Lytechinus pictus: one gene and its partners. The protein of the gene in region 2 interacts with the protein of the main gene of each other region in a pairwise test. Links are inferred from orthologs where the notes say so. Each region holds a gene or a part of one and is shown on either strand. Other genes may lie near its edges.

Evidence for each region. The genes of interacting proteins can lie anywhere in the genome.
Region 1: the proteins of peroxisomal biogenesis factor 19-like (region 2) and peroxisome assembly protein 12-A-like interact in a two-hybrid assay, tested with the Homo sapiens proteins (4 studies listed by BioGRID and IntAct, with this or other methods). The link is inferred for Lytechinus pictus from reciprocal best matches to the Homo sapiens genes PEX19 and PEX12.
Region 3: the proteins of peroxisomal biogenesis factor 19-like (region 2) and peroxisomal membrane protein PEX16-like interact in binary tests that used the Homo sapiens proteins (3 or more experiments, as listed by UniProt). The link is inferred for Lytechinus pictus from reciprocal best matches to the Homo sapiens genes PEX19 and PEX16.

Annotation. Positions count from the first base shown.
Region 1 is NC_087246.1:9,739,040-9,749,571, reverse strand, and holds the start of peroxisome assembly protein 12-A-like, read right to left. Parts: upstream 4,339-10,532; 5' UTR 4,112-4,338; coding exon of another isoform or gene 3,994-4,111; 5' UTR 3,988-3,993; exon of another isoform or gene 3,584-3,987; intron 2,118-3,583; 5' UTR 2,043-2,117; coding exon 1,920-2,042; intron 468-1,919; coding exon 359-467; intron 1-358. Other genes in the region: DNA repair protein RAD51 homolog 3-like, read left to right, coding at 3,994-4,111, 7,931-8,119, 10,193-10,367. UniProt on the Homo sapiens protein: Component of a retrotranslocation channel required for peroxisome organization by mediating export of the PEX5 receptor from peroxisomes to the cytosol, thereby promoting PEX5 recycling.
Region 2 is NC_087252.1:8,081,284-8,092,141, forward strand, and holds the start of peroxisomal biogenesis factor 19-like, read left to right. Parts: upstream 1-5,779; 5' UTR 5,780-5,803; coding exon 5,804-5,939; intron 5,940-10,858. UniProt on the Homo sapiens protein: Necessary for early peroxisomal biogenesis. Acts both as a cytosolic chaperone and as an import receptor for peroxisomal membrane proteins (PMPs).
Region 3 is NC_087253.1:15,130,617-15,141,477, forward strand, and holds the start of peroxisomal membrane protein PEX16-like, read left to right. Parts: upstream 1-6,523; 5' UTR 6,524-6,656; coding exon 6,657-6,834; intron 6,835-10,861. UniProt on the Homo sapiens protein: Required for peroxisome membrane biogenesis. May play a role in early stages of peroxisome assembly. Can recruit other peroxisomal proteins, such as PEX3 and PMP34, to de novo peroxisomes derived from the endoplasmic reticulum (ER).

The sequences.
Region 1 (10,532 bases), on a different chromosome or scaffold from region 2:
TGAGTATTTTTGCTACCCGCAGGTTGCCCGCATTGACAGTATCTTGCACGCATCTCTCACGCAGTTGCCAGCAGAAGCGCACGCAGAAAAATTTTGAACTTGCTCACAACTTTGTTGCAGGAGAGTTTGCGGGCAATCACCTGCAACTCACTCGAAAGGCTTGCACAGGACGATGTGACAGGGCCTTTACATAACAAAGTCATCTCACTTTTCTAGACAACAATGCCCAGGGAACACTAATTAACTAGTTATTACAGTTATTACAGCTATTACAGTTAAATTCCAGTGCATTTCACAATGACGATGGTTGCAGATTATAATTTAACCTTCATGAAGTCTCTGACTTAAATTTGCTTACTAGTGTTGGTGAGAAAGTGATGCTGTAGTATAAGATCAAGGGTGGAGTATACTTCATCAGACCATCGATGTAGTCTTCCAAACTGAGCAGGGTGATTCTCAGCAAGTACCTGGTAAAGTAAAATAATCTCTATACACTAACATAAAGCAAATACAACAATAATCTATTCAGTTACAATACAATATTCAATTTGTTGTCTAATATAAAACTTGACTTTGAATAAACCACTCCTTTTATTCTTTGGGGAAAATCCTAAAACACTTTAGAGAAAAGTCATTAATACCTCGCAAATCAAACAAAGTTTAGATTGCAATATTAGTTTTTTATTGAAATTGAAAATTTTCATTCAATATCATTTCATAAACTCTAGAAAATTAGTCTATATTTCCTGTTGCAAGAGCAAACTAGCACATCAATGATGTGGAGCTCATCCGGCATCTTGCAACAAAATTTAACACAATTTTTTATTTCATCCCAGTTGATACTGTAGTGAATTATATTGGAGACATAAATTGAGGAAACAGAATTGAAATTGATGAAGAAATGACAGAGAAGCACTTTTTGGTGATTTATGAATAAAATTTGTATGAATTAGCATAAATAATTATCTAGTCAAAATTTCTAGAATCTGTGTAGAACCTTGGTGAACCTCATGTAGCTCTCAGATGGAACAAAAAAATCAGTCAACAACTAAATAAGCAGCATTTTTTGTGAGTTTTGAAAAATATGCATAAATTAGCATATTTAATTAATTTAAAAATTCTGTGTAGAAATTTTGTATCCCCACCTAGAGCTATCATATAAAGGAAACAAAATTAAAATTGATCAACAAATGAAGGAGAAAGGGCATTTTTTGTGATTTATGAATAAATGTTGCATAAATTAGCATAAATAATTTTCTAGTCAAAATTTCAAAATTCTGTGTGGAAGTTTGGTAACCCTCATGTAGCTCTACCAGATGGATGAAAAAAAAAATCGAAGTTGGTCATCAAATAAAGACGAAGAAGCATTTTATGTGAATTTTTAAAAATATGCATAAATTAATTTTGCATAAATTAGCATAAAATTTTTTCTAGCCAAATTTTGTGTAGAAGTTTTGTGAACCTCATGAAGATCTACCAGAAGGAAGCAAAAAACTCAAAATCGGTCAATAAATAAAGAAGGAACAGCATTTTTTGTGAATTTTGAAAAATGTGCATGAATTAGCATATTTAATGAGTTTCAAAATTCTGTGTAAAAGTTTTGAATCCCCACCTAGTGCTATCATAATAAAGCAATCAGAATTGAGATCGGACTTTAAATGAAGAAGCAGAATTTGGAAATTGTGGACGGACAACAGACGACGGACGCCACGCCAATTCAATCCCTCAATTGCAAATTTGTAAATAAGACTAATGATTGATTTAAAAAAAGAAAAAAATTCTTCTAGAAGTTCTATGCAATGTCTCCAAAGTCTAGGTTCTTTGAGAGCCAACAATATTGTGCAGTAGTAGAACAATATTCTAGGATGCTGTTGAATTCTTTAAAATGATGTTTTCATGAAGAGTACCCTTTGACTTACCTTTAAGAAGTAGGACAGAGCAGGTCTCAAAGTAACCATTAGGCTCTCTTGGGCAAGAACCTCAAAGAATGATGGTCGATTGTCAGTGGTTGCTGAAGTAAGATGAGCTCCGAACTCTGCCATTGTGATTTAGAATTTGCACACATCAGATTGCAGAATAGCAGTATCTCAGTTTCTTCTCCAGGTAGCCAAAGTTTCCTTTAACAATAAAAAAGATCGATTTCTAAAACAGATTGACTGCTGAAATTAGACATTTGCTCACTATTGAGCAAAACAAGCCATGGAACGATGAGTGAAATTCTTCAAGTTGTAAATAGTCAAGTACAGTAGATCGAACTTAGAAAAAAGGTCAATAATAATCTGGAGAAAAAATAGACTACTAATAAGAAATATAATATCATTTTGTTTGGAAAAAGTTATAAAAATACCTGTCAGCTATCATTATTTAGTGTTATTAAACAACCTTTTACCACTGAATTCCAGTGTGCAATCTCGTCATAATCTAAGTTTTTCAAGTACATGGTATTGAAATTCATCCAAACGTGCAGCAAAATGTATATACATGCACAAATTGCTTAGTTCTGAACTCGTCCATATCACAAATACATATCTAACGTTAACTCGGGACTACCTGTTACTAGATCTACTACACAAGCTACCATGACTATACAGCAAAGACAGAGTTGCATCCCTTTTGCTGGTATTTCTCAGCTGAGCGAGACATGGACATGCAAGATATCCACTATCAATGGAAGTTAAGTTCGATCTACTTTAATGTTAGATGTAGAAAAATTAGAAATCCCCTTAAGGCTTGAGGGGGGGGGCAATGGGGACTAATGTCCCTCACACTGTGTACGAGTACGTAGCTAGCCGTCTACCGCGTCTGGGCTGTGAAGGAGAAGAAATTTAAAAATATATGTTTAAACACTCCAATTACTTACGTTACGGCCCACCCATCCAACAACTGAATGTAAGTTTTATTGTTTATCCTTGGTTTTAGGGACATAAGTTATTTGTAGATCTACACAAAAGTGCTTGCTACCTTCAAACTGATCCAAATTCAAAGCATACTAGACTCTGTTAGGGATCAAATCTAGGAATTAGATCAATAAAATTGTACTTGATTAAACAATAGTTAGTATCTGCACTATTTCATTCATAGACCTTATTTTTAATTTAGTTGCCCATAAATTTGAATTATCCAAAGTTCCCCTTATCGAACTGCTTATCATATTTATTTCACAAAGCAAAACTGACATATTGTATGTAGGCCTATGAGAGAAGCCGAAATTCGAGATCAAGCGGAAATCATTACCAAAGATAACCTCAATAATTTAATTCGTGTAAATTCTTTCTTTTTTTTTTGAGTATTTTTTTAGTTTTTACTTTTATCTTATTTAAAGGCCTAATCCAGAATTACTTAATGTCGACCGTCATCGCCTCAGCTTCACTCACACCTAATGCGTTGCTACAACGTTAGTGCGATTAACTTTAAGTTTAACGTTTTTTAATTTTAGACTGATGATTGATACCGTACTGAATATGTCCCCTGCCCTGTTGCGGAGGAGTTTTTTATTTTTAACAAAATTTTCTGATTTTTTTTTGACGGAGTGGAGCCTGATGAAGTCTCAGCTCAGCAGAGCACATCCCAGAAAGAAATAGACCTTTTTATATGGGTCTACCTCAGACTCGGCTCCACTCCTAACGTTAGTACCAAGTCAGACCAAGTCCAATGAGGTCCAAACATTAACATGCTCGGCTCCATTCATTCTAGGCCAAGTTCAAGCTTCAGCAGCATGCAACCAGGCAGTATACCAGGCCCAGGGGCAGGGCCCCGGCGCGCCTTAGTCTTCTTTATCTTCTGAATATTGATGCGTTTGGATGTTACTGTTAATGTTATAAGAAGACCCCACAGAGGCTTAGACTTAGCCACGTACGGACGGACAGCAGCCCGATCGACCGACCGGCCGCGCCGCCCGGCCATCAGCCCGGCGCGATCATCACGCGACTGCCGACATTGGAAACATGCGCGGGGAATTCAATTTGATATCCTGTTTTTACAATTTACCTCACGATGCAGCGTGACATAAATAGCTTTCCTATACCTCCATCCTTCAGACTGAAGCTGAACAATGCGGGATTTAGTTCTACTTCTGATATCTTGGAGCTGAAACCATCAGAACTCAGCAAGGGTAAGCAAGCAGCGACATATCCTGTTTTTATCCAGCAAAAGTTTCGTTTGTAGTCCCATATATTTACAATTATGTTAGTTGGTTTCTCCCTAGAACTTAGAAGCCATATCATATGCCAGCATCCATATCGGCCATCTGAGTCTGACTCCGAATATTTGTAACTTACTAGTAGTTTATAAATTTGTGTGAATCACTGCTGGCATAAATCGTGGCCCGGCTTCGTGGGGGGGGGGGGGGTGGGCCGTAAAGATTTTGGGAGGGGATACTGTATATCCTTCAGTTTCAGGGGGGGGGGGGTGGAGTTACTGCGGCAGCCCGAACACGTAGAGTAACATTAATAATACATTCTCCCACTTTTCAAGAATTTTTTTTTCTTTTTTAGTTTTATTTTTCTTCATCCTAATGCCAATATTATAATGCCTTCTAAGTGCTAAAATTTACCTAATTTTGCATTCTAAAAAAGTAAAAGTGCAAAATTTCTTGCACAGTTGCTCCGCTCCTAACTTAGTGCTCATGACGAATCTTAGTTTTCTTACAAATTAGGCCATAAAAAGCAGATATCTTCTAAGTTCTAGTAGTAGTACACCAGACCAGAGCTCTGAATTTTCAGGGTTAGGCTCTATTGATCAATTATGTAATTGATTATATTTTTTGAGTAATTGCAATTTGTAATTGAAATTTTTAAAGGGAAAGTAATTGTAATTGAAAAATTGTAATTGACTTCAATTACTGGATTTGAATAAAGAAAGAAAAATCCAACAAGCATAACACTGAAAATTTCATCAAAATCGGATGTAAAATAAGAAAGTTCTGACATTTTAAAGGTTCTCTTAATTTCACAAAACAGTTATATATGCACATCCTGGTCGGTATGCAAATGAGGAGACTGATGATGTCATCCACTCACTATTTCTTTTGTATTTTATTATATGAGATATGAAATATTCTAATTTTCTATTGTCAAATGAAACAGTGATTAATTCCTCCCTGAACATGTGGAATTAGCTTTGCAGTTTAATGCTACATGTATATGGTTCAGTCAAGTCGGTCTTTATATGGTCAAATCTGTAAAAAATGAAATAAAAGAAATAGTGAGTGATGGACATCATCAACTGACTCATTTGCATGACACTGTTTTGTGAAAAATATGCGAAACTTTAAGTTGCCATAACTTTCTTATTTTACATCCGATTGTGGTGAAATTTTTAGTGTTATGCTAGTTTTTTTCTCTACTTATTCAAATCAATATTTTGCTGGGGTGGACTTGACCTTTAATCTCTTGCATGCAAATATATCCTTTCCCATGCAGTGGCGTAGCTAGGATTTTTTTCCTGGGGGGGCACTGGGGGGTCCTTGCTTTTTCAGGAGGGGCACCATTTTTTAGGTGTGTGTGTATGTGTCACAAAGGCGGATCCGACTTTCGCCAATAGGGGACGGTGCCCGAAATTATCTTCACCTATATTTTCCCGATCAGTCACTTCTTAGTTTTATTCTTATAAAACAACATTAACATGAAATAATCTCATAAGCCTTATAAAAAGTGCGAGCGCGAAGCGCGAGCGATTTTTTTTTACTTTCATGTATTTTGTCCTGAAAATTTAATATTCTGGGCAATGTTATGTGTGATCCTGAACAAGATTCGTATGTAACTAGATGGTTACTGCGAACGCCAAGCGCGAGCAGAAATTTTTATTAACTGTTCTAGCATTATCGAAAAGGGACCTGTTAAGGACTGCTTACAGTTACCCACGAAGACGGTATATATTTCAATAATGCGAGCGTGAAAATTCCGACCTAAAAATGGTCATTCTAAGCACTTTTTGTATTAATAAATGGGATAGGTATGTAACTAAACAATTGATGCGAGCGCGAAGCGCGAGAGGTAGAAAATTGAGATCTCAGACCTAAAAGCGGGACACTCTAGTCATATTTTGTAAATCATAAATAGGATATAGTTAATTGGGTATCATTAATAATGCGATCATGAAGCGTGAGCAGACAATTATTGATATTCTGATGTGAAACTGGATAATTTAAGTACATTCTAAATAAAGAACATGCAGGCTATCGCGCATGTTTTAGATTTAGACCTAGAATCTGAGCATTCTGAATACATTTGTTTTATGGAACATTATGGAATACACCTAGACAATATGAACTTGGCAAATCAAACAATGTGACCACGCAGCGTGAGCTTAAAATGCTGATATGTAGACCATAAAAACGGACATTTTACAGAGCACTTAAATTTGTAAATGAAAACAAAAATATGAAAGCTCGATGTCCGAGCTAAAATATGTTTTGTACATAGACTTCAAAACTTGCTCCATATCAGCCTATTGAGCAAGATATGAATCTCATCGAACAGGCAATTCTGGCGCGAAGCGCAAGCAAACATTTTATATGGTAACATGAAAGATTTTTTTTTTGCAAGTCTTCCCCTCACATTATTTCATTCACTCGTCTTCCTCCTCTTATTTTCCTCTTCTGTCTTTCTTCTTTTTTTTCTTTTCTCCTTTCTCCCTTTTTTTTTGCTCTGCCAATTTTTTTCAGGGGGGGCACCTGGGGGGGCACACCAAATCTCAGGGGGGGCACGTGCCCCCCCATGCCCCCCCGTAGCTACGCCACTGTTCCCATGATGTGGAGCCAGAGGAAAGAGGATACATTGCTATAACAAGTGCACAAATTGAACATCTGAAATATTTGGGACAAATTTGCAAAACAAAATAGGTTCTAACACGGAATCAAACTATGTAATTTTTTATACTAGCAAAATTACATTTCGTATAAACTCATGTAGTGGCCTGATTTTGTTAGTAAGAAAACGTAAGATGTTTACTAAAATCTTTAGAATTAAGTTGGGAATACCTCCTCAAAAAGTGAGTTTTTAGTGGATGAAAATATTTTTCCTGCCCCCTATAGTTGAAAGCTGGATCAGCCCTTGATGAACGAGGTCACAACTCTCAATTCAAGTTTACATTCATGTTGTACATCATGATTTCTACAAATGAAACTAAAGCATGCAGATCTGCATATTATTGAGAATGTCAGTTGACTTTAGCATTGAAGGGAGTGATAGGCAGGATCAATGCTCTCTAAGCTAATAATCATTCATTTTGTCAGTTTCTCTCAAACATAGAATTAAGTTGAAATGGATGACACTACATACAAAATATAAATTGATTTCATGAAAGTAATTGAAATTGTAATTGACAAAAGTAATTGTAATTGAAAAAAAAATTAATTTAATTGAAAAGTAATTGTAATTTAACATTTCTTCAATTACCTAATTGTAATTGTAATTGAGCCCAACCCTGACTCTGATGATAGGATGCATATTTAAATTTCAATTAGGTTTTTGATATATCCCTGTCAGTATACAGTACGAGAGACAAGTACCGAACGCACATCATTGTTTTTTTTTTTTTTACCATTGTACTCGCTGCTGTGTATTTATCATTGCAGGTGACAGCTTTGTACTCTTTCAGATAGATTTTGTAAGCTACAAAAAGTAATTAGTGCACACAACTCAGAAGAGAGAAGACAAAATTTGACATCAGTAAATGAACTGGTGACTTAAAGCAGGATAATTCCAACATTTTTGGATTTAGTATAAATTAAGTTAATGTAGAATGTGGTCAGTGACAATTACAAATCTTGTCTTTGTCAATAAAATTGATTCTTAATGGCATATTTTTGTGGTTTTATATCATTCTCAAAGTCAAGTATCAACTTAATAATTCTCTTTTTTTTCTTCTAGTATTATATTGTGTAGATGTAATTGTCATAGTTTTTTTCTTTAACCTAACACCTTTTCAGAGATAAATATTTCTAAAGAGGATGCTCTGGAGCTGATCAAGACATTTAAGTCGGGAGCAATTAATCCTGTGCTGCACGAGAAATCAGAGAAAGATCTTGAAGACGAGGAGCTATTAAAAGGGATATCATCAGGCTCTGAATGTTCAGGACTAAAATCCAACAAACTTCCCGTTACTGGCTCAATATCAGGTGCTTAAAATAACATGGTGCATCATGTTTTTATCAGAGTACTGGGTTTAACATTTCCAGTGAAACAGCATGATTTCCAATTCACAAATAATATTTATGTTTTTAATCATGCCTTTATTATTTAGATTTATTTCATTCATTTATTTATTTTCTAATCAAGCCATTTGTCTCAGTCTCTTTATCATTCAATTAATACAAGTTTGTATCCTTCTATCTGTTCATCAGTCCACCTTTCACTCTCTATCCATCACCTGATATATCAATCCTCCTATTATGTATTTCCACTTACCCGTTCATCATTTTATCTCTCCATTATATATCCATATTACCATCCATCTATCTATCCATATTACCATCCATCCCCATGTTCATCCATATTTCTGTTTCTCCATCCATCTCCCAATCCATTCATCTTTCTATTTCTCTCCCCAGCCATCAATCTATCCATATATGCCCATTGATCCATCAATCTTTCCACATTTACATCCATTCATCTATCCAACCACCTATCAAGCCTATCAAATTATCCTTATCTATCACTTCAACTATCGATCTATTCCGTCCGTCCATCCATCTATCTGTGGTCATGTGTCATGAAGTCACCTACTTTGGCATTACATGGTGATTTTTGTTTTTGGGTCGCCTCCTTAATTTCAAAAGTCTCTATCTCACTAACTATTATAGTAGAAGTGTACATTTTCTGAAAGGAAATTGCTTATTGAACCCAAATATTTTTAGGTGTAAGGCAAGTGTTATATTGTGTTGAATAGAAAAATATTGATAATTTTTTAAATCTCATATTAGTGATCATAATAATTTGTATAGTCCCCCTATGACCAAAATAATCATATATCTGTAAAAGTACAGAGTTAGACGTGTATATCAATGTATACCGGTAGTTTTATTGGGTTTATGGTAAAGAAATTACTTCAAAATCAACCAAAAGTTATGCAAATATTTTTCAAAAAATTGATATATTGTGTGTGCTATTTTCGCCTGCATTACCATTACATGGTAGGTATATCTGCTGTGTTCATCAGATTTTAAGGTATTAAAACAATTTAAAGCAAATTGTGATAGCATTAAACCAATTGATTATTCTAAGATTCTTCACATATTGTTAGTGTGAATGTCTCTGACCTGTGTCATTTGACCTTTAAGATCTGTAACAAAACTAGGTATCACTTTCATCAACAGAATAGTAGAAATCACATTTCTGTTTTTACACAAAAGCTACATTGAAATTAAGAATAATTGTAAAGAAAATATGTGCCAATATGGAAGAATTTTTGAGAAAAGTGAACAATTTTGACAATTTTTCTATTTCTTTTTCAATTTATTTTACCTTGTTTTTTGTTTTAAATGACAATGACATTGCCAAACTTATTTTTCAAACAATTAACAGTAAAGAGGAATGTTCTAGCTTTCACTTGATACCAAATTTGTCATTAGAAGTCAAATTTACACAAAAAATATTAACGTTTTACCCAAAATAGCACAAAATATTGAGAATCTCTATTGACTTTGTACAGGTGGCACTGCTCCGGCAGCACCACTTCCGGCATCAACACTGGTGCTCTGTCTTTAAAGATAGCCAAGTTCTATTTATCTTAGAGTAAGGAAACTGTGTACATTTTTAGCCAATGAATTCAGCTTCAATATAATACCAAACTTGTTGGCATAGCTCATATGGTTTTAAAAATATGTAAAAATAACTCTACAGATTAACCAAAATATATAACAGTACAACCCTTTTTGGTGGGCGACCTCATGACACATGGCCCTATCTATCTATCGACCTATCTATCTATCCATCTATCTGTCTGTCTGTCTATCCGTCCATCCATTTATCTATGATCTATCTATCTGTCTTCCATCCCTTTTATTAACAATTCCATCTAATTACCAATCTACATGTATCAGTCCAATACATACTGTTGCATCTATTATCCTATCCATTGATATTATCCATCCATCAAATACTTCATTAATTCCTACATCTCCCAAAACTCACAAACAGGCAAATGAGATCATCATGTGTCAATTTCCCATTTGGATTGACCAATCTTGCAGGTGTAGGGGATAGAAAGAGAACAGCTACAGCCTTTCAGATGCTTCAGAAAGAGCAGTCCCTACCACCCATCATCACATTCTGTGAAGAACTTGATGAGATGCTTGGAGGTGGTGTACCAATGAGCAAGATCACAGAGATCTGTGGTGCTCCAGGTGTTGGAAAAACGCAGACATGGTCAGTATCAGTGCCTTTTTATATTTTGCTTTGAGAGATTGCAACACAATGCCTGTAGGAGCCACCTTGTTTCTGTTCAGAGTCTATGAGAACTACATAATTAATTACTAATATTTTTTTCATTTTTGAATACACACACTTATTCCAAAAAAAATTGAAACAAGA
Region 2 (10,858 bases):
AGATGCAATGATTTCGGTAGCTTATCACAAAAGTCAGAGAAAATCACCGACGAGAGACTCTGTGCAGCCCTGCAATTTGCAGTTATTACCAGGCTTTCTTTAGTTTGGGTAATCATGATTAAAGTCTAAATGGCTACTTGAGTTGATGAATGAAATAAATCATGATAAATAAGTAATAATAATACAGCAATATGATATGGATCGGTTCTTCCCAGCAAAAATATGATTTTGCAACAAATTCAAATGAACTTTTATGAATATAAATTGTTACTTTCACACACAATATTTTAAGGTCTGATTTTATATCATCATATTGATATTCGTAATTGCAATAATCAATCATTTGACATTAGTTCTGCAAATGATGAATGTTTAAACAAATGCCTTTTTTTTTCTAAAAATTTTCATACAGGCCTACAACTAAATATTGTTTTATGATTTGATAAATGAAAGCAAATTGCCAAAGGGATACATTAGTGTATATTTTCGATGCACCACGTACAGTCTCTGACGAAATTCGTCCATTGTCGGATAATTTTCGGATCATCGGTTTTCCGGTTTAGATATCCGTCCAGTGTAGTATACTCGTGTTCATACAGATTATATTTTTAGATTTTATATTCTGTGGTGAAAATTGTGTGTTGTTGGCAATGCATGCAAATCTGTGTTTTAGTTCTTTTTGCCATGATGGCACTTTTTGGAGCAAGATAAACCTGATGATCGTATCAATATTTTCTTATTTGGTATCTCAATATCTAGTATGTCTCCATTCGAATGGTTCAAGGTTTCACAAGAATACTTTATTATCATACTACGACTGCTTTCTTGTAGGTCTAATTTTCATGCTATTGTCTTACTAGATTCACCACTGTGATCATCATATCATGTACGATCGTGATGTTTCCCGAGAAAAAATCATATCATTAGGAAAGTTCATTACTTTTCCATAATAGTTTGTTTAATTTACATGAAATCGAGGGTGAATGCGAATTCGACATACAAGACCATGTTCGAAGAAAATGCCAAAATTTTGAAATCCGAAGCATATTTTCTTGTTTCATTATAAAGCGATAATCTTTTAAGCTAAATCATCGTTCATATTTCTTTTATTTATACACAGAGATACTTGTAGATAGCATATGGGGTTTGCAGGGTATATAACTTTATAAAAAAACTGTGGAAAATCACTTTCCTTTTTTGATCATTCATCTACATGTATTTATCAACATTGTTTCCTATTTTCCAACTCTTTGCTCATTTCCTACGCAGATAAAGTTCATCGATCCCAATGCATGGACCGCGGAACCTGGGGGCTCGGAAAGGGGAGCCTCCCGTCCCTCATCCTTTTTTTTTCTCAATAAACGTGTAGAAAAAAACTTTAAAATGAACATCTGGTTTAGTTTTTGTATGATAAGCCAAAATTTCCCAAACCGTTCACTCTTAAAACAGATCAGTCAAATTGACTAGACCAGTAGTCAGCTGGGAGCAACTGATATGGCAATCACTGATAGTCACATATCTGACATATATTCTAGTCAGAAATAACTCTATTTTAGTAAAATAGTCAAATATGACTAGAATAACAGTTGCTCCCAGCTGACCCTATTAACCAGTCATTTTTTACTGATTTGTTTTTAGAGTGTTCCGCGGCCCCTGGATCGTACATTTTTTTAAATTCATACTCTAGATGGCATTTTTTTATATTCTAATAATGGGCTGTTATCGAACATAAAACATCGCATAACGACTGTGCTGTTATAGGTGAGAAATGGAATAGGGGAATAATAAGATACTGTTATAATTGGGTAATGTCTATTCTTTTCACCTAAACAAACAGTTTTGATTTGAATTTCTTTCCGAAGCATTGAACCCTTCATGAAATATGATTTTTCTTATTTGCATATTGTTTAAATTTTCATGGATGTCTGGCCTATGCTTGTCCATTTTTTGTTCCTGCTGTTTTGATTACGCAGCAAAGAAGTCTCCTCTATTATTACGCGAGTTGCCTTTAATCTATAGAATGAAATATGATATATAATGTAAATATTTGATCTAGTATCATCTCAATAATTGATTTCATCTCAAAGAGTCGATATTTTGATTGATTTTATCTGTTTTTATGCTTAATGTGGCCATTGTTCTGAGTGTGCGTAAAATGTTAATAAACTTTAATGCACTTTACTTTACGGAGTATACCCGCTCTTTTATTTGAGTCTATTTACCGGCAAAGCTATTTTAAAGAATCTATGTTGATGAGTATGGGCGTTTCGATCAGAGGTTGTGTGTGCGTACGTGGAGGGGGGGGGGTATTGGATGGGGAATAATACCTGGTGAGTGTTTCATAAAGCTGTTCGTAAGTTAAGAGCGACTTTAAGAGCGACTGGTGAACCTTTCTTACGCGCTAAATAATCACTAATGAACATAATGGTGAACCGTCACTTACCACAAGAAAGGATCACCAGTCGTTCTTAAAGTCGCTCTTAACTTACGAACAGCTTTATGAAACGGCCTCCTGAAGTGTTAGCATCTCTGAAATGAAAGGGATATTATAAACTCAAAAAAGTTTGGAAATCTGAGTTTGGCCATTAATTTCTCCCAACTCCCAATTTTACACAATGCATATTTGATATCATTCAAAATATCATTTAATTCTCTTTAAAATTATACCCTACATGATATGATTATGGTTCACATGGAGGTGCAGTGCCTTGAAATGAGGGGCAGGGTCAAAATTCAAAAGTTGCAAAATGACACAATATTGAAAGTCACTGTTCTTTTTTTCGTGGTGATGAGTGGGTTTCTGATCGGTTTCTTTTATTTTCATGCACCTTAACATTAAAGGACAAGTCCATCCCAATAAAAATTTGGTTTGAATAAAAGGAGAAAAATCCAACAAACGCAACACTGAAAATTTCATCAAAATCGGTTGTAAAATAAGAAAGTTATGACATTTCAAAGTTTTGCTGAATTTCACAAAACAGTTATATGCACATCCTGGTCGGTATGCAAATGAGCAGACAGATGACGTCACCCACTCACTATTTCTTTTGTATTTTATTATATGAAATATGAAAAATTCGAATTTTCTCCTCATTGTCATGTGGAACAAACTTTTGTTCCTCCCTGAACATGTGCAATTACCATTATTTTAACAGTTTGTGGTTGAATCAAGTTGGTCCCAATTGTCAAATCTGTAAAAATTGAAATATTGTATAATTCAAACAATAAAAAACAAAAGAAATAGTGAGTGAGTGACATCATCGACTCTCTCATTTGCATATCAATGAGTTGTGCATATAACTGTTTTGTGAAAAATAAGCAAAATTTAAAAATGTCATAACTTTCTTATTTTACATCCGATTTTGATGAAATTTTCAGTGTTATGTTCGTTTGATTTTTCTCTATCCATTCAAATCAACAAATTTTTGGGGTGGACTTGACCTTTAACATGGAATCAAACACACCTCTGCACAAGCAAACACATAACTAACAAACAAACATGCATGTGTATTTCAAACCATGTTATCTCACAGATCTCCATGTTAATGTTGCTGTTAAGGTGCATGAAAACAAAAGAAACCGCTGAGAAACTCACTCATCACCAAGAAAAAAAAAGAACAGTGACTTTCAATATTGTGTCACTTTGCAACTTTTGAATTGTGACCTTGTCCCACATTTCAAGGCACTGCACCTCCATGTGGACCATAATCATATCATGTAGGGTATCAATTTAAAGAGAATTAAATGATTCATTGGTATCAATTACACATTGATATTCACTAAAAACGAGGAAGGATTGTCGATCAAAGTCAGATTAAAACTTTTTTTGAGGGGTTTATAATTCATGACCGAGAACTTTTCCAAACTCCTTTGCTTTCTGTTTTATGAGATTTTTTTTCCTTCTCTTTTATTACTTTTTTTAACACAAAGTATATTGATTTTATAAAAGTGTTAAATTGATCAAAAACCTCCACATTCTTCGATGCATAGGCCTATCCTCCCCGGTGAAGTCCATACATACTCAAGGGCAGTGTCGGGATAGGGGGAGAGTATATGATAAGGTGCCGCGACCCCCTCCCTCTCAACAATGAAATAACAGGAATATGCCCTATACTCCCGTTTCCCTTCCATTCTTTTGTCGTATCCCCATCCCCTTTTAAAATAATTTTTATTATATTTTTCTCAAACTCATACTGCGTCAATGGCACAGTGAGCCCGATATTTTGTATGGGCACAGTTGGGACAAAAGAAAATTGTATTTGATAAAAAAATGAGTGGTAGCGGAGCAAGCGAGAAAAATTAAAGAATGGAAATATGTGATAGATTATGACTAATATATATGTCACTATTTTCTTTCTTGTATCCTTCTTTTCTTTCCTCATTCTTGTTTGTTTATGTTTGGAGGAGATAAATCCCCAAATTAAGTAGGCCTATGTCGTAAACTTTTGAAAGCCTTATTACCTAAAAAAAATTAATAGTGATTGACTTGAAGAAAAAGTCCATCCCAGCAACAACAAAAAAGGAAAAACTCCAATAAAAAAAAAATCATCAAAATCAGATGCAAAATAAGAAAAATATGACATTTTAAAGTTTCGCTTAATTTCACAAAACGGTTATATGCACATTCTGGTCGGTATGTAAATGAGGGGACTGATGACATTTTCACTCACTATTTCGTTTGTATTATCATTATGAAATACAATATATTTTAACTTTCCCCTCATTATAATGTAATACAAAGTTTCATTCCTCCCTGAATATGTAAATTACCGTTGTTTTAACATTTTCTGCAGTCCATTTATCACTGTCAAATCTGAAAAACTGGAATATTGAATAATTAAAACAGTAAACGAAATAGTGAGTGAGGGAGGGACATCATCGGTTCTCTCATTTGCATATCACATATTTGTGCATATAACTGTTTTGTGAAAAACGAGCAAAACGTTAACTATCAGATTTCATTTTACATTCGATTTTAATGAAATTTTCAGAGTTATATGCTTGTTTGAATTGATTCAAATAAAAAAAAAATTGAAATATTTTTTTAGGGGAACTTGACCTTTGAGAGTTAAGACTGATTTTCTTGAAACGATTGGCCAATAGAAATCTATATATTTTACTATTTTATGTCCATCACAATAGATCGGATCGAATGAAATAATTTGAAACCCCCTTTATAGCAGTGCAAATAACGAGCTGTCACTGCAATGAGCACGACACTGACATCAATTTTGATTGCCTAAAAGGTATAGGCCTAATCAATTAAAGATATATGCGAATTATACAAAATTATGTCGATGCAAAGAAATCATGAGGTGTATATGACATATCATATTCAATATATGGAGAGAGAAAAATAATAAAGGCCAACAGCTGCATGAGCAGATCGATCTAGTGCCAGTTCAATTATAACGAAACAATTTTATTAAACATCACCTAAATGATAAACTATACTCTACATGACTAATGTTATACATGTAAAAAAGTTAGAACAAAAAGCTAAAACTTAGTTCTACTCCCTCGTAATTCCACTGCATCTTCGGATTGACCCCCCCCCCCAAAAAAAAAAAATTATCGATGGAAATGAACTGCTATTGCACATCAGCAGGTGCGGCAATTTTTGTGAGGTTTTTGGTCCATTTAGGGGGAGAAAATCCACCCTAGTGTTTTGTGTGCAAATTTTGAAGCCCCCCCCCCCCCACCCGGGGGATCGCAGTCCACCATGCAGATCACCCCTTTTTGCCTTTTTTAATTTTGGCAATGTTTTGCAAGCCCGCCCTCATCGCTCGTGCTTATCTTAAAAATGGCAGCAGCTGATAGTGAGAAAGTGGAAGGAACGATGACCAGTCCGGCTGAAGAAAAACCCTCAAAGGAATCATTAAGTCAGGTGGTGGACAGTGAAAGTAAAGATGACGTAGATCTCGATCAGTTATTGGACAGTAAGAGCATTCTCGATTCTCACATGACCATAAAACCCAACGTTGTTGTAAGGGGCGTTGAAAATTTCGGTCCCACATGCTTGTTTTTGCGTATGCACCAAGTCTAACTAATTTGTCAAAGTTTTTGTTAATGACAATGTTATTCTGCCGAGTTTGCGTGATGTGGTGGAAACATTTGAAGTCTTCCTCCAATTAAAGGTTGGAAATTGATGGGTGCAAGTACTGTTTGCACTTGTAATAAAAAAATATAGGCCTAGGCGGTAGAAAATATAGGCCTAGGCGGTAGGCCCTATTTATAAAATATTTTTTTGTAGGCCTAGGTCTATTTCACCCAAGGCCAAGCAAGGGTTCATTACATGCCGCCGCGCACAGAAAAATCAAGCCATAGAAGTCGTGTGTTGGGGACCCAAGAAGTGAGATCCCAGCACGCGCGACCCACTAGTTAGAAATCCACTGCCAAACGCGGTTCGTGGTGCGAGCGAGGTTAGTATAGGGTAACGCGCCCGGTATTCGGTCACCTCCCAGAATTCGGTCAGACAGCTGTTTCAACAGCTGTTGAAAAAAAAAAAATAATGCATGAGCCAGAAAACTTTGGCATATCATGCAAGAAACCAGCACTTCCAGCCCACCTCAAAAAAAATGTCGATTAAGACAAGCACACAGCCAAAAACTAACCTTAAAATTGACCGCGTCGGGGGGGTTTTGTTTACTTCCGGGTTTCTTAGCTATTGAGTTAAGCGGACGCAACCTCATGTAAACTCTTGTGACGTCATGACTTTGTGTGTAGGTGTAGTGAATTTGGTACGAGTGTGAAGGGGAAGACTTGTGTGTTCACCCAGTCGCAGCGAATATGCAACTAGCAGTGAAACTGATGAGTAGCGAGGGCTTATACATTGCCCCTATAGTGAGAGGGCGCTCGACCAGAATTCGGTCGCGCAACATTGAGTGTTTTGCCGGTGTGTTTGTGAGGAGGGAAGAGCGTGCAGATACGTTGCTCCTCGCAAGTGAAACACTTATCTTAATCCATTTTTTGTTCTGTTAGGCCTAAATAAGTTTAGAATATATCTAAAATTATTTTTCATGAATAAAAATCTTAAATCAAAGATGTTTATTGCCTATGAAAATGCAATTTGAGCAGGTGAATGACGATGGTGACGAAGTTGGTAAATTTGACCAAGGCTCATTTTGATTGCCTTTGCGTGATTGAGTTGAAGTCTACATCTTTCTCAAATGATAGGGCAAATGATATGCCTACGTTAGGCCTAAATAAGTTAAGAATATACCTACAATTATTTTTATTAATAAAAATCTTAGAACAAAGATGTTTATTGCCTGTGAAAATGCAATATGAGCGGGTGAATGACGATGGTGACGAAGTTGGCGAATTTGACCAGGGCTCATTTTGATATTGCCTTTAACGTGATTGAGATTAAGTCTTAGTGATTTCCTTTTTGGCCTCAATAGTCAAACTCAACCTCAATAGTTAAACCGTGTTATTTTTTTAATGTTATCATAGTTATTTTCAATATTATTATTAATTTGAATAATACATCCGGTTCCAGGGATGATGGACCCCCAAGAAAAAAAAAATTAAAAAGGCTCTTCCACGAGTGTTATTTTAAAAGACGTCATTGCTAGATCAAAGGCTGGAAAATTGCCCCTCAATTTTGCCCGTCCCTCACATATCAGAGGTCTGCGGCTAATTTTTTTGGTCGTTTTAATTTAAAACAAGGGGCCTTTTAATATTGTCATCATTGCTAATAACATCAATCGAAAGTGGATGACAATGTTGACGAATTCGGTTAGAATTATCAGTTACTGTTGTGAATTCAATTGGAATTCAGTTGCCCGAGTTAGGCCTAAAGTGATTTATAGAATTAATAAAATGTTCCTTTCGTCTAATATTAATTTTAAATTCTTTGAGTTCATACTTTCAATGACTTTTCAAACAGATATCAAAATCTTTACTAACAGTATATCAAACAGCAGGTTGACAACTCGGTATTGGATGGTAGACAAGATGTCAAAAAGGAGGGCGTCTTAGGTATATGGGATACCTAAATCAACGCATAGGGATAAAGTAGGTCTACATCTTTTTATTTACTTAACCATACTCTGAACTTAAACTATTATATCAATCGGTAATTTCCATCATGCTGTGTAATTCAAATGTTCTAAAATTTTTCCTTACCAGTTTCTCCACAGATCGATGGGAAGACACCAGTAAAATCGCGGCATGGTTCCAGCCCTTACCTGTCCGTTGCTATGAAAGCAAATTTGGCGGCATTGGAACAGCGGATGGCAAAATTCGGGGTGAAGAGACTAGAGTTTCAGCAGATGATTCAAAATTAATTGTCGGTCTCGTCGTTATTTTGTCTTTCTTTCCCATTTAATTTTTCTCGTTCATTTTTGGGGGATTTAAAGGACCATTGATGTAGTAAAGGAAATGACAATAGCGAGGGCAGTAGTTTTGTGTTTTAATATGGAACCAGTAAATTATGATATTGAAGGAAGTTGCAATAAAACAATGAGCATAATTATGAAAAGGATAGTGTAAGAATAATAGATTAAGGCCATTATGATGAAATTAATTTATGTACATTATCTTCATTCAAATTATTTCATCAAGAAGGCGTACCACACTTGTATTCAAGAAAGATTTAGCATTGAGTGAATTAAAGATAGTCTTCAATGACCTCTTATATCACAATGTTCCCTAAAACTTTGTTTGATTTATCAAAGGAATGATATGAAATCCAAATTTCCTCTTCGCTTTCCCTATATCGGAGGCCGACGTAGATCTTATAAGTATCATTGAGCCATTAATTTTATTGTAAAAAATAAACTAATATAAAATCCAAGAAATTACAAAGAAAATATATATTCTACGCAGTTGTTACGCCCTGGTACTAATTATTTTGCAGTACAATAATTATTTTTACATTCTATTGTTTGTATTCATATCATTCTTAATTTTATATAAATTTAATGTATTGTACGTAGATGGCCAAACAGTAAATTTTGTTACAGAGTATTTGATTTATTGATTTCTTTCCATTTATGAAAGACAAGAGTATGAAACTTATTTGCCATTTGTATTAATTCTACATTCACCTTGCCATTCATTTCATAGACTGAAAAAAATAAACAATATCTTGACTGCAAAGACGTGAAGTTTCAATAACATGTTGCCCATTTGACTCTTTGTCTGTAATGAAATTGACTGAAACGATGATGCTGCGCCATTTTCTGGTTGATTCCGTTTTGGATTGTTGTATTAAAAATTCTGAGTGATTGAAAATTTATATAATCTTAACGAGAGGGGATTGATATGGTCAGCAGAGCAGAGGATTAATATTCATTGGGGACCTCTATTGTTGCATCCACCCCCTAAAAAATACAAAAGATAATCCTCTTCTCCGATGCCCATAGTTTGAATGAGCTAGTGTTGATCTACTATTTGACATAGGTTGTGTGGCTGATTATCTTTTGGTGATTGACTGGAGCGACTAAAAACAAAAACCAAGTTATTTGATAGATTTTCATGAATGACTATCAGGACTATCGGGATGGCAGATTAAAAATATGATTTTAGAAAATTATGAACATTAAGTAAAATCTCCAAAATAATAGATTCTACTCAGTAGCGGATCCAGGGATGAGCCCCCTTAATTTGACACTTTTATCATGTAAAAAGAAACGGGAATTACGGGTACACGGACCTTGCTCCCCGCTTGGATTCCCCACTGTACTGAATTACCAAATAAGCAAAATAATAATAATAATAATAAACAGACCAAAATAATTAAAGACTCCCTCAGACAAAAACAGAACCCCAAACAAGCGAGCATGCATCTGAAAATGAAAACGGCAAACGGGTATGAAACCATGCAAGTTGGAATGTTACCAAAACAAAACACAAAAACAACATAAACATAACATCGAAAAGCAAAACAAGTGATTGAAAGTAGGAAATTGAAATTCATAAACAAAATATAAGAACACAAAAACCCCAAACAAACGAGCATGCATCCGGGGCATGCATAGGAATATGAGAACGGCAAACAGGTAAGAAACCATGCAAGTTGGGATTATATAAATACCAAAACAAAACAGAAAAAAATAACATGAAATGTAACGTCGCAAAGCAAAACAAGTGATTGAAAGTAGGAAATTATAAATCATAAACAGAGTAAAATAATACAAAAGGAGTTTTGCCTGTAAAAGAGGGAAGAAAAAATACAAAAGTTAATTATTAAACATGTATTTTCATAGAATGAATAATGAAACATATATATTCAGTTTACGCCATCACATGGCGAAATTTCAAACAATACCGTTCAGTCTCAATTCTTCCACCTGTTCTGTTATTTCTAGTGGACTAATTAGGTTTTATTGTTGCTATTATTAAAAAGTAAACACTAGAAATGCATAATTAAGATGTGGAGATCACATAAAAGGAATAAAAAACAGTAAGCATAAGAGAAATTCGAATAGTTAACATCAGATAAATCGCGCGTTTTCGCGCGACCGAATTCTGGGCGGCGTGACCGAATACTGGGCGGAAAACACCACCTCGGTCTATCGGCAATATTTTGTTCAACAATATTCAATATTCTAAATGAGTTCAATAATCTGAAAGAGGACAATTTTTTCTTTCTCCTGGTCGGTGGATTTACAAATAAATGAGGTAGGTATTTATTTTACCGGCGATTTCCCCTTAAGTGACCGAATACCGGGCGCGTTACCCTACTAATACTTAGACCAAAAGCTTCAGTCTCTGTATTTTGGTTGTTCCGCTGAACTACGTTGGCTCCACTCACCATACATAAATGGTAAATGGGGATTACAGTAAAATGTCAGAAATTGTTGAATAAATCCCCAGAAACGACGGTTATTCCTGTCTAACTAATACTAAC
Region 3 (10,861 bases), on a different chromosome or scaffold from region 2:
ATAAAGTTCTCAAAATATCCGTTTTCAGATGTGATTGTCAAAACGTAGGCCTATCAGCTAGCGATGCGCGCTCGCATTTTGATTGGTGAGTTATGTATACCTCTATATCAATTCGATATCAAGCTACTTAAAATGCAATTTTTATTAGTAAATAACAAAAATAAAAAATTTGGCTCGCGATTGGCGCTCGCATCAATGTTAAAAATGTGTTAACCCATGTGTCCTATTCATAACTACAAGTTGCTTAAAATGTCAATTTTTCAAGAAATTCCACGCTCTCATTAAGCATATTAGATTAATAAATAATACAATAAAATTTTCATGAATTCATAGTAACTTAATTGGCCCTTTTTCAGAATGGAATATCGACAAGTTTCATCTCGCGCTAAGGAATAATAGGAAGATAGCCATCATTTTCATATATGACAAAATGTCCTTAGAATGTCCCGGTTGCTCGCATTATTTAGTGTGATCCACATCAACTTCACACTTTTCATACACAGTGCTTGAAATAGTGCCTAAACTGACTCCTTTTCAGATCGGAATGTGATTTTTTTCAGCTTGCGCTTCGAACTGGCATTATTGATCATGTGGTTGATCTTCATGAGTAAAAAATGTATACAGAATATCCAGATTCTTGGTCTAAATCTAAAACAGACGCATACATTTTTTTTAATACTGTATATAGGCAGCTTGTTAAATTATCCAGTTTCAGATCAGAATATCAATAATTTTCTGCTCGCGCTTCACCCTCGCATTATTAATGTAGGAAGCTATCCAATTACCCATCCTTTTCATGATTCACAAAACATGAGTGTCCCGTTTTTAGGTCTAAAATCTAAATGTTCTTCCGCCCGCGCTTCGCGCTCGCATCAATAAATTGTTTGCATACTTATCCCTTTCACGATTACGAAAAGTGCTTGGTATGACCAAAAAAAAATAGTTCTGAGTGTCAAAAATTTTCAGCTCGCGTTTCGCGCTCGCATTAGTTAATTCTTTAAATATGTATCATCTTCATGGGTAATGCAATTGCAAACCGTCCTCAACATGTCCCTTTTCGATCAGACCAAAACGTTTATTAAAAATTTCTGCTCGCACTAATTGGCGTTCGCGATATCTTGTTCAGGATCACAAACATTGCCCAGAATGTTAAATTTTCAGGACGAAATGCATGAAAGTTCCAAAAAAATTAGCTCGCGCTTCGCACTCGCACTTTTTATATATATATTGGGCTTATACATGTTATATGAGATTATTTCATATTTTTGTAGCTTTATAAGAATAAAGCTAAGGAGTGACTATGAGGACTTCCCCTTCAAACAAAGAAAAATCAACTTTGAGCGGCCGATCGGCCCCACCCCCTATTGGCGAGAGCTAGATTCGCCCCTGTGACACACACACACACACAGAAAAAATTGTTCCCGCCATTAAAAAGCAAGGACCCCTAGTGCCCCTCCCCCCCCCCCTCCCCGGAAAAAAAAATCCTAGCTACACATGTACACCACTGGACGCATGTCGGAAATAGACAAGTTGCACAAATTGTATGCGTAACCTTTCACATTAAAGTGAATCGGTAGTCACTACTACCAGGGCCGGATCCAGCTTTCGCCATTAGGGGGGGGGGGGGGGTGGCGAAAAAAAATAATGAAAATTTTCTCCGATCGGCCGCTAAAAACGTAATTTTGTTAGTTTCTTTGAAGGGGTCGTCCTAACAATCCCTTGAGATTCTTAACTCTATTCTTACAGACAAACAAAATTGTATTTCTTAAATCCTTATTAAATAATGTGAGCGCGAAGTGGGAGCTTTTTTTTTTGGGGGGGGGGTTCCATTTTCCCCCTGAAAATTGCATTCTGTGCATGCTGCAATGATTGTGATCATGGACAAGCTGAGTATGTAACTAAATAATTACTGCGAGGGCGAAGTGCGAGCTGAAATTTTTAGTGCACTGACCTGACATAAGCACTATATAGTTTGTAGGCCTATCATGAACAGGATAGATTAATCTGAGCGCGAAGCGCGAGCTGTTTTTTGTGTGTGAAAAATTGACTTTCTAAGCACTTTTGTAACCACGACGAGTATGAGTATCTGATCAAATAATTGAAGTGAAGCATGGAATTGTATATTTTTTTTCCGACCTGAAATCCGAACATCATGTGTACTTTTTGTAGCCATGAACGTGATCTTCACTAAATAAATAATGCCAGCGCGAAGCTCGAGCCGATTTTGTTTTTATTCCAATCTCAAAACTAAAGATTTTAAGCGCTTTATTAATATAAAAATGTGCACTGTGTAACTCCATAAACAATTTGAACACGAAGCGTGAGCAGAAATTTTTAATATTGATTTAAAAGAGACCTTTTTAATCGCTGATTTTTCATCTACTCATTTTTTTCTTTTCTTTCCCCTTTTCTTTCTTTCTTTTTTTTCTTCCAAATTTCATGTTCTTCCATTTTCGCGCCGCCATAGGGGGGGGGGGGGGTGGTGCAGCCCCTTCGGCCCCTGGATCTGTCAATGGACTACTGATATTTTAATCATTGGTTGAAATCCCCCATGGCTTGGAACGAATGTGAATAAAGTACATGCAGAAAAAAACCGGGGAACCTTATTACATGGTTATGCTAATGTGCATATTTTATTTTATTTTTCCTTTTTTTTTTTACTGCAAACTGTTCAATTTATGTTCTAATCCCCAACCTCCAATTACACAACTATCGTTCAATTAATCCAAGATACATTGATAATTTTTCCTTTTCCTTTTTTTATATTTTTCCCCTATTTAGTATTCAGCTCTCGTTAATGCAAGAAATTATTTTTAGTTCATTCATTATTTTTATCTTAATATGACGTGCGTGGCTTTTTCCAACGCAATTACGCCTATTCACATAATCTCTAATACCGAATTTGTTAGATCTGCTTATTTATTTCACGTAATCCTTTTTTAACATTTCAGGGGATTCGCAGTTGAAAAACTTTTCATTGTAATTTATCAATAAATGCGCTTAAACATATTATGAAGAGGTAACAGGTAAAAGGGACTTAATCCATTTTTCAACATTTGGTATTTTTGGAAGGTTTAGACGGACATTCACCGCTTGTGCATCAAACTGACTAAAGTGCAACTCCCAAAAGATTCAAAAACTTTATTAAGAATGGACATGAAATTTACTTTTTCCACGCAAAACAGACTAAATCTGAAACATTGTTTATGCAAAACGAATTAAATCTACCTTTGCTGAATCTTCATAAACCATTTTTTTCCACCCAAATCTATATTACAATTCAGGAAGTTATCTTCCTACATTTATGAGCCATCAATATATCACTTCGTAATTCCGAAGGTTCATAATTCCGAAGGTTCTTTATTCCGACGGTTCGTAATTCCGAAACACGTAAATTGCCTATACCTCGATGTTCGTTAATCCGAAAACGTAAAAGGGTTCGTTAATCCGAACATTTGTGGCGTTATTCCGAAGGTTCGTTAATCCGAAAACGAAATAAGGTTCGTTGTTCCGAAGGTTTGTTAGTCCGAAAACGAAATAAGGTTCGTTAATCATTAGTTTTCGGACTAACGAACCTTCGGAATTACGAACCTCATTTCGTTTTCGGATTAACGAACCTTCGGAATTACGAACCTTCGGAAATACGAACCTTCGGAATAATGAACCTTCGGAATATCCGAACCTTCGGAATAACGAAGCTTCGGAATTACGAATGTATGCGCAATAGGTTGATGATAAAAATGATAGTTTAAAAATCCTGCAGATGTCTTTTATTTGATATGAATTTGTGTATATATTTTGGATATAATCCCTTTTTGCATGAAAAGTCCATGCAGAGGGGTAACAAATGTACAGAAGGTTTAACATGAACATTATAGTACTTATCTCTTCCCCTACCCTTAGTTTATAGATTGGAAATGGTTGACTGGTCTCTATACTAGTTACAGGTAGAAGATTTGCCTGACATAGCAACAAATTAAAATTAGTTTTCATTCAAAAAGGACTAAATCCATAAAAATTATAAATATAAAAGAATCATATAAAATAAAAGACATCTGCAGCTTTTTTTTTTTCGTTACCAATATTGATGACTCTTAAACATAGTATAGTAATTTCCTGAAGGGAAACATAGATTTGGGTGAAATTAGAAATGTTGATTTATGAAGAATGAGCAAAAGTGGATTTAGTCGCTTTTTCATGCAAATTCTTCATAACTTTGAATGGATCTAAAAACCGACAGTGTAAATATTCAAAACATCAAGCGTAATGAATTTGTTCAGGTTTGTCTCTCGATGACAAATTGGCCGTCCGCAAAATAAGTGAATTAAAAGCAAGATTTGAAAATCAAATAAGAATATAAAACTAAAAAAAAGCCATATATAAAAAGAAATATAAGAATATATAAATAATGATAGATTTATTGATTTGTATGGAATACACTTTCCTATGCATGGCCCTGGGAAGCGGGGGTGCTGAGGCACCTCCAAGATTTTCCCAGGGGGTGCTGCGTGTACACAGCAAAAACTGTGGTGTTAACCGGTGTACATAGAGGACCACACCAGTTGTTTTACACCGGTGTTAAATTAGTGGTGTTAGTTTTACACCCATAGGTGTTATTACAACACCTTTGGCTGTTACATTTACACTCTTTGGTGTTATGTTCATTCTCTAGGGTGTAATTTTAACACCTCAGGGTGTGGTCCTCTATTAACACCAACTGGTGTCAGTTTTAACACCACAGTTTTTACAGTGTATTACTCTCCATAGGCAGCACCCCTAGAAAATCTGGTATGGTAAATTTTGAAAAATATAGGGAAATTACGCACCTTTTGGAGTGAAAACCTTTCTTTATTTATTTTTGTTTGCTTGTCAAATTTCTTGGCACCAAAACGGCTTTTTTTTTGCTATTTAAATTTACTTCAGCACCCCCAGCAAAAAAAAAAATCGTTCTCAGGGCTCTGCATGCTTCTATTCTGTTTTATCAAGGACTCTCGTTGCCCCGAACCATAGGCTTCTTATAACGAGGACCTGTCGAGTGATCGTGTCAGCATATCTATCCCAAAACAAATCTAATACTCGTACTTCAAGAACAAAAAAATATTAAGTAAATTTTATATACATCCGTTTCAAATCCGATTTTGAATGTTTACATGATTTTGTCGATAATTATGCTCAATGTGTACACTCGTATATATATATTTTTTTATAAACATGTGAACATATATATTTTTAAGAATTCATTTCATTGTTTCTCCAACCGTCCTGCTTCAAATTGCCACATTAATATAATTCCTCAGTAACTCATTGCCCCCGAGATCCATACAGTTCATGACAGAATAGTATCATACTCACTTCCTGTAAAGAAAAAAAAACGAAGAAAAAAAAATAATTGGTTACCCATCCAAGCCAAATTTACAGAATGATGGTATTTTCAGAGTATCCGAACAGATTCATTTCTGATACCACCACAACCACCATTATCATCGTTATCATCATATATATATGATGAAGGAATTGAAAAATTAGACATTGATAAGGATCTAAAGAAAAAGGGAAAGTAAGAAATGTATATTTTGCCAGTTATTTTGTAATTGTATTTCAGAGTTTTGTATGTGATATTGATTTTGTATGAAAATAAATGCCCCTGTTATGGGTGAAAAAAACATCATCATCATCATCATCCACCACCACCACCACCACCATCATCATCATCATCCTCCTCCTTCTCCTCTTCCTCCTCCTCATCATCATCATCATCCACCACCACCACCATCACCACCATCATCATCATCATCATCATCATCATCATCATCCTCCTCCTCCTCTTCCTCCTCCTCCTCCTCCTCATCATCATCCTCCTCCTCCTCCTCCTCTTCCTCCTCCTCCTCCTCCTCATCATCATCCTCCTCCTCCTCCTCCTCTTCCTCCTCCTCCTCCTCATCATCATCATCCTCCTCCTCCTCATCATCATCATCATCCTCCTCCTCCTCCTCCTCCTCCTCATCATCATCATCATAATCATCATCATCCTCCTCCTCCTCCTCTTCTTCCTCCTCTTCCTCCTCCTCATCATCATCATCGCCTTGAGTAAAGTGGAAGGTACGCTACGAAAATTGGATTATTATGACCTTTAGCGGCAACAGCATCGTCACCAGTTCCCTATTCAGTCAATCAAACATTATTTTGTAATGTTTTATTTGAATAAATATATAAATCGTTTAATCACATTCCATGAAAATTCGTTTGGAGACACTATTGCTTCAAATAAAAATCCGTTTGCAATTGTTTTGCGTGAATCATATAGAATCAAATTAAAGGTATTATGTGTCACTATATGGTCCGAATGCATACTTTTGTATCTTGGAAAAAAATTGCTATCATTACGGAGGTAGAATAACAAACAACCAAACAAAACAAATAAACAAAGCCAAATCAAGTTGGTCTCAGAATTATTTGTTGGGTTTGTTTGTAGGAGACTAGGAGTAGCATGAGCAAGAGATGGCGCCCCACCATCCGATTTTACTACCCCGGCCAAATATGCAATAAAACCAACAAATTTTACAACCAACGGGACTACAATCTTCTTCGCGTAATTTGCCTGTTGATTAGGTTGATGTCTCGGAAAAACTCTGCTCGTAAAGAGTTATTGATTAAAAATGTCAGCTTCGCCATTGAATACACAGGAGCAAGCATGCATCAGTATGAAATATCTTGGTAAAATGTGTTTAAGATACCAAGAAACATGTGCTTGGTATCGAAAGTGGGTCGTCGAAAATCCTGACGTTGTTTCTCAAGTGGAAAAGACATTTCGTGTGCTTTCATACTGCATAACGGGTGAGTAATTCTCTCTTTATTAACAAAAAAAATCACGGTATTATTTTTCTTCTTAATTTCAACACAGCTCCTAACACTATATTGCATATATATATAAAAAAATGTGGACTTTAGCTATGGTAGCCAGCCTGAACTGTGTCGATTGTCCAACAACAGGCCATTTTCAATAATTCAAAATCATTGTCTTTCCACTCACTTCTCTGTTCTCACTCTCAGTCATCATGCTTCATCGATCATGGACCGTCTAATTTTTTAAATCTATTTTGTAGAAGTTGTTGTTTCAATTTTTAGAATAAATGAAATGGATCTAACTTAGCTAGGATAAAGGTAGACAGGAATAACTGTCGTTTCTGGGGATTTATTCAACAATTTCTGACATTTTACTATAGGGCCTAATCCCCATTCACCTTGACTTGAGTGAGCCAACGCAGTTCAGCGGAACAACCAAAATACAGAGACTGAAGCTTTTGGTCTAGGATAAAGGTACCTCGAGCGATGTTCGTGCAGGCTCCACTCCACTTCACTACCGCTACACTACGCTCCACTTACCGAAGGTAGGTGGAGCGTAGTGTAGCGGAAGTGGAGTGGAGCCTGCACGAACATCGTTCGAGGTAGGATATAGATTAAAGGCACCTATTCTTTATTATAAGCAAATGATTCACTAGACAGGAATAACCATCGTTTCTGGGGATTTATTCAGCAATTTCTGACATTTTACTATCATCCCCTTTCACATGACTATTGGTGAGTGAGCCAACGCAGTTCAGCGGAACAACCAAAATACAGAGACTGAAGCTTTTGGTCTAATGATTCACTCCTTTTCCTTGTTTTTATCAATCTCAGAATCAATAATTTAAAACCAGTGCAGTGTAGGCTGTATTAAGATAAACTAAAACTTAAGTTAAAGTAAACATGTCTGCGCACTTAAGTTATAATTAAAGTTAAGATTTAATAAGAATTCCACAAAACAATTCAGTTTCAGAAGTTCCTTATATTCTATGAGTAAGTGTGCCAAAAATCTCATAAAAATATGGAAAAACCTCGGCCAGTCATTTTCAGATTGAACAAAACAATGCCATGGTGCCCCATGTCTGCGCACCCATAAATTTTGATGAGAAAGGCTGCATTTTGAGGCTGTCACATGAAATGCCAATATTCATTATTTTTCCACCATTTTGAGTCAGATTTTTTAATCAATATCTTTCTATTTATTGCATGTGTAAAGTTTGTGGTTGCGTATCTTCTTTCTTTAGAATCATGCAGTTATGTGTATGCATGTGTGCGCAGACAAGGGCTTATTTTTTTTCTTTCATTCTCTCCCCCTCTCTTAATTTCTTTTTTTCTTCCTCTGGTTATTTTCAGTGATTTCCCCTTTTTGTATTGTGTGTCCTAGTCCCCTCCAAAATATATGAAAAATATATGAGATTAGGAAATTAATTAAAGAGCATATTGACCATATATATTTTGTCATGATGTTCAAGATAAAAATTATTAAAAAAAAGAAATACAACTAAAAGGTACATCTAGTCCGGGTTATAATTGAGCAAGGTGCCACAAGAAAAAGGAGAAATTTTCATATAGTGCTTCTAGACCAGTTTTTTACGCTGAATATGAATATATGAGGTAACCAGGCTGTATCCTGAAAATTAACCAGTGAGGGTGCTTTTTTCAAAATGGCCGCCGAATTTTCAGAACATTTGAATTTTCGTACATAGATTTTGACATAAATATTCCATTGCCACAAAATTAGTGTCATATGAAAGACAAATAAATTTTCTACAATTTGGTACTATTTATAGGGGATAAGTAGGTCATTTGGCTGAGATTTTAAGTAGAAAACTGCATTTTTTGTCATTTTTTCCCAAAAATTGAAAATTTAGCAAATACATGATTTTACATAATTCTGAGAAAAATGAATGAATTACCTTGAAATGTTCCAGAAAACTTTATTGACATACTATTATCATGTGGATGAAATTCCAACTCTGTATCATTCTTCTTAGCAAATTTATAAGGTATCAAACTTGAATACTTCAATTTCAGAAATGTCGCTTTTTGTATGCATTTCCATAGACTAATACGTATAACATGTACTGTACATGTATAATATGTATAATGTATAGTTTAATAAAATTTAAATGCAATTATCTCCGCTTTTTAACCACTTGGAGAGTTAAGAGTAGGCTTTTCTCTATCAGCTACATAAAACAAAATGTTGGCACATCAAGGCCTGACCCTCTCATGGGGTGGGGGTGTCGAAGTCACCCCCCCCCCTTGCCCTTGGCTATATCATGTTGTATATTGCCTATTTGTTGGAAAAATATCTGTTTTTTGGAGTACCCATTGAAGCAAAAACAGGCATTTCTGCTATACAGTACAGTCACTTTGATTGCTTTGAAACCACTTGGAGAGGAAAGAGTATATAGGCTTTGTTCTACCAGCTACATACAAAGTGGCACATCGAAGCCTACCCCTCTCGGGGGGGGGGGGGGTTGCTTAATATTGCCAATTTATTTGAAAATTCACAATTTTGGACCCAACATTGAGGCCAAAAATCGTTTGTGCTTTGTTGTACACCCCATTTTATTGATTTGAAACCACTTAGAGAGGAAAGAGTAGAGTTTGTTCTACCAGCTACATATAAATAAGCACTGGCACATTGAACCCTAGCCCTCTCATGGGCTGTCTAAGTCACCCCCCTCCCCCTCTATATCATGTATATTGCCGATTTATTGGATATTTCACCATTTTGGATCACCCATTCAGGCAAAAGCGCGTTCCTACTATATAGTACAGCCAATTTTATTTTCTTGCAATGACTTGGAGAGGAAAAATTAGGCTTTGCTCTATCAGCTACATATCAAGAACTGTTGGCAAATCAAAGCCTATCCCCTTCAGAATGTTCAGGGGGCTGTAGAATTTACCCCACCAATTTTCGGTAATTGACTATCTATTGGACAGTCACAATTTGCATCACCCATTGAGGCAAAGGGCGTTTCTACTATATAGTACAGCAAATTTCTTTTCTAGCAATGACTTGGAGAGGAAAGAGTAGGCTTTGCTCTATCAGCTACATATAAAGAAGTGTTGGCAAATCAAAGCGTATCTCCTTCAAGCGGCTGTAGAAGTTACCCCACTAATTTTCGGTTTTGGGCTATTTGTTGAAAAGTCACCATTTTGGAGCCCCCATTGAAGCAAAAAGGCGTCTCTGATATATAGTTCTGCCACTTTTATTGCCTTGAAACCACTTAGAGAGGAAAGAATAGGCTTTGCTCTATCAGCCACATAATTTTGTGCTGGCAAATAAAAGCCTACCCCCTTCTGCGGGCTGTCGAAATCACCCCCTCACCCCTTTGCGTTATTACCTATTTATTGGAAATTCACCTTTTTTGAGCCCCCATTGAGGTAAAAAGACATCTCTGATATAAAGTTCTGCCACTTTTATTGCCTTGAAACCAATTAAGGAGGAAAGAATATGCTTTGCTCTACAAAGAAGTGCTGGCACATTGAAGCTTACCTATCTTGGCGGCTGTCAAATCACCCCACCCCTCTTGCATTATTGCCTAATTATTTGAAAATTCACAATTTTTGAGCCCCCATTGAGGCGATATGCACTTCTGCTGTATAAAACACCCAATTTCATTTTCTTGAAACCACTTGGAGAGGAAAGAGTAGGTTCCCATCTTTCAGCTATATATAACGAATTGCTGCCATATCGAAGCCTGACCCACTTCAGGGGACTATATAGATGTTACCCCACCTTTTTTACGATTTTTTCCAATTCATTGGAAAACTCGCCATTTTGGAGCCCCATTGAGGCAAAAAAGTGTTTCTGGTATATAGTAGAGCCACTTCTTTATATGTAGCTGTTAGAGGAAAGCCTACTCTTTCCTCTCCAAGTAGTTTCAAGGCGGTAATAGTGGTAGAACTATATATCAGAACCGCCTTTTTGCCTCAATGGGGGCTCCAAAATCGTGAATTTTCCAATAAATAAGCAATAATGAAAAAGGGTGGGGTGATTTCAACA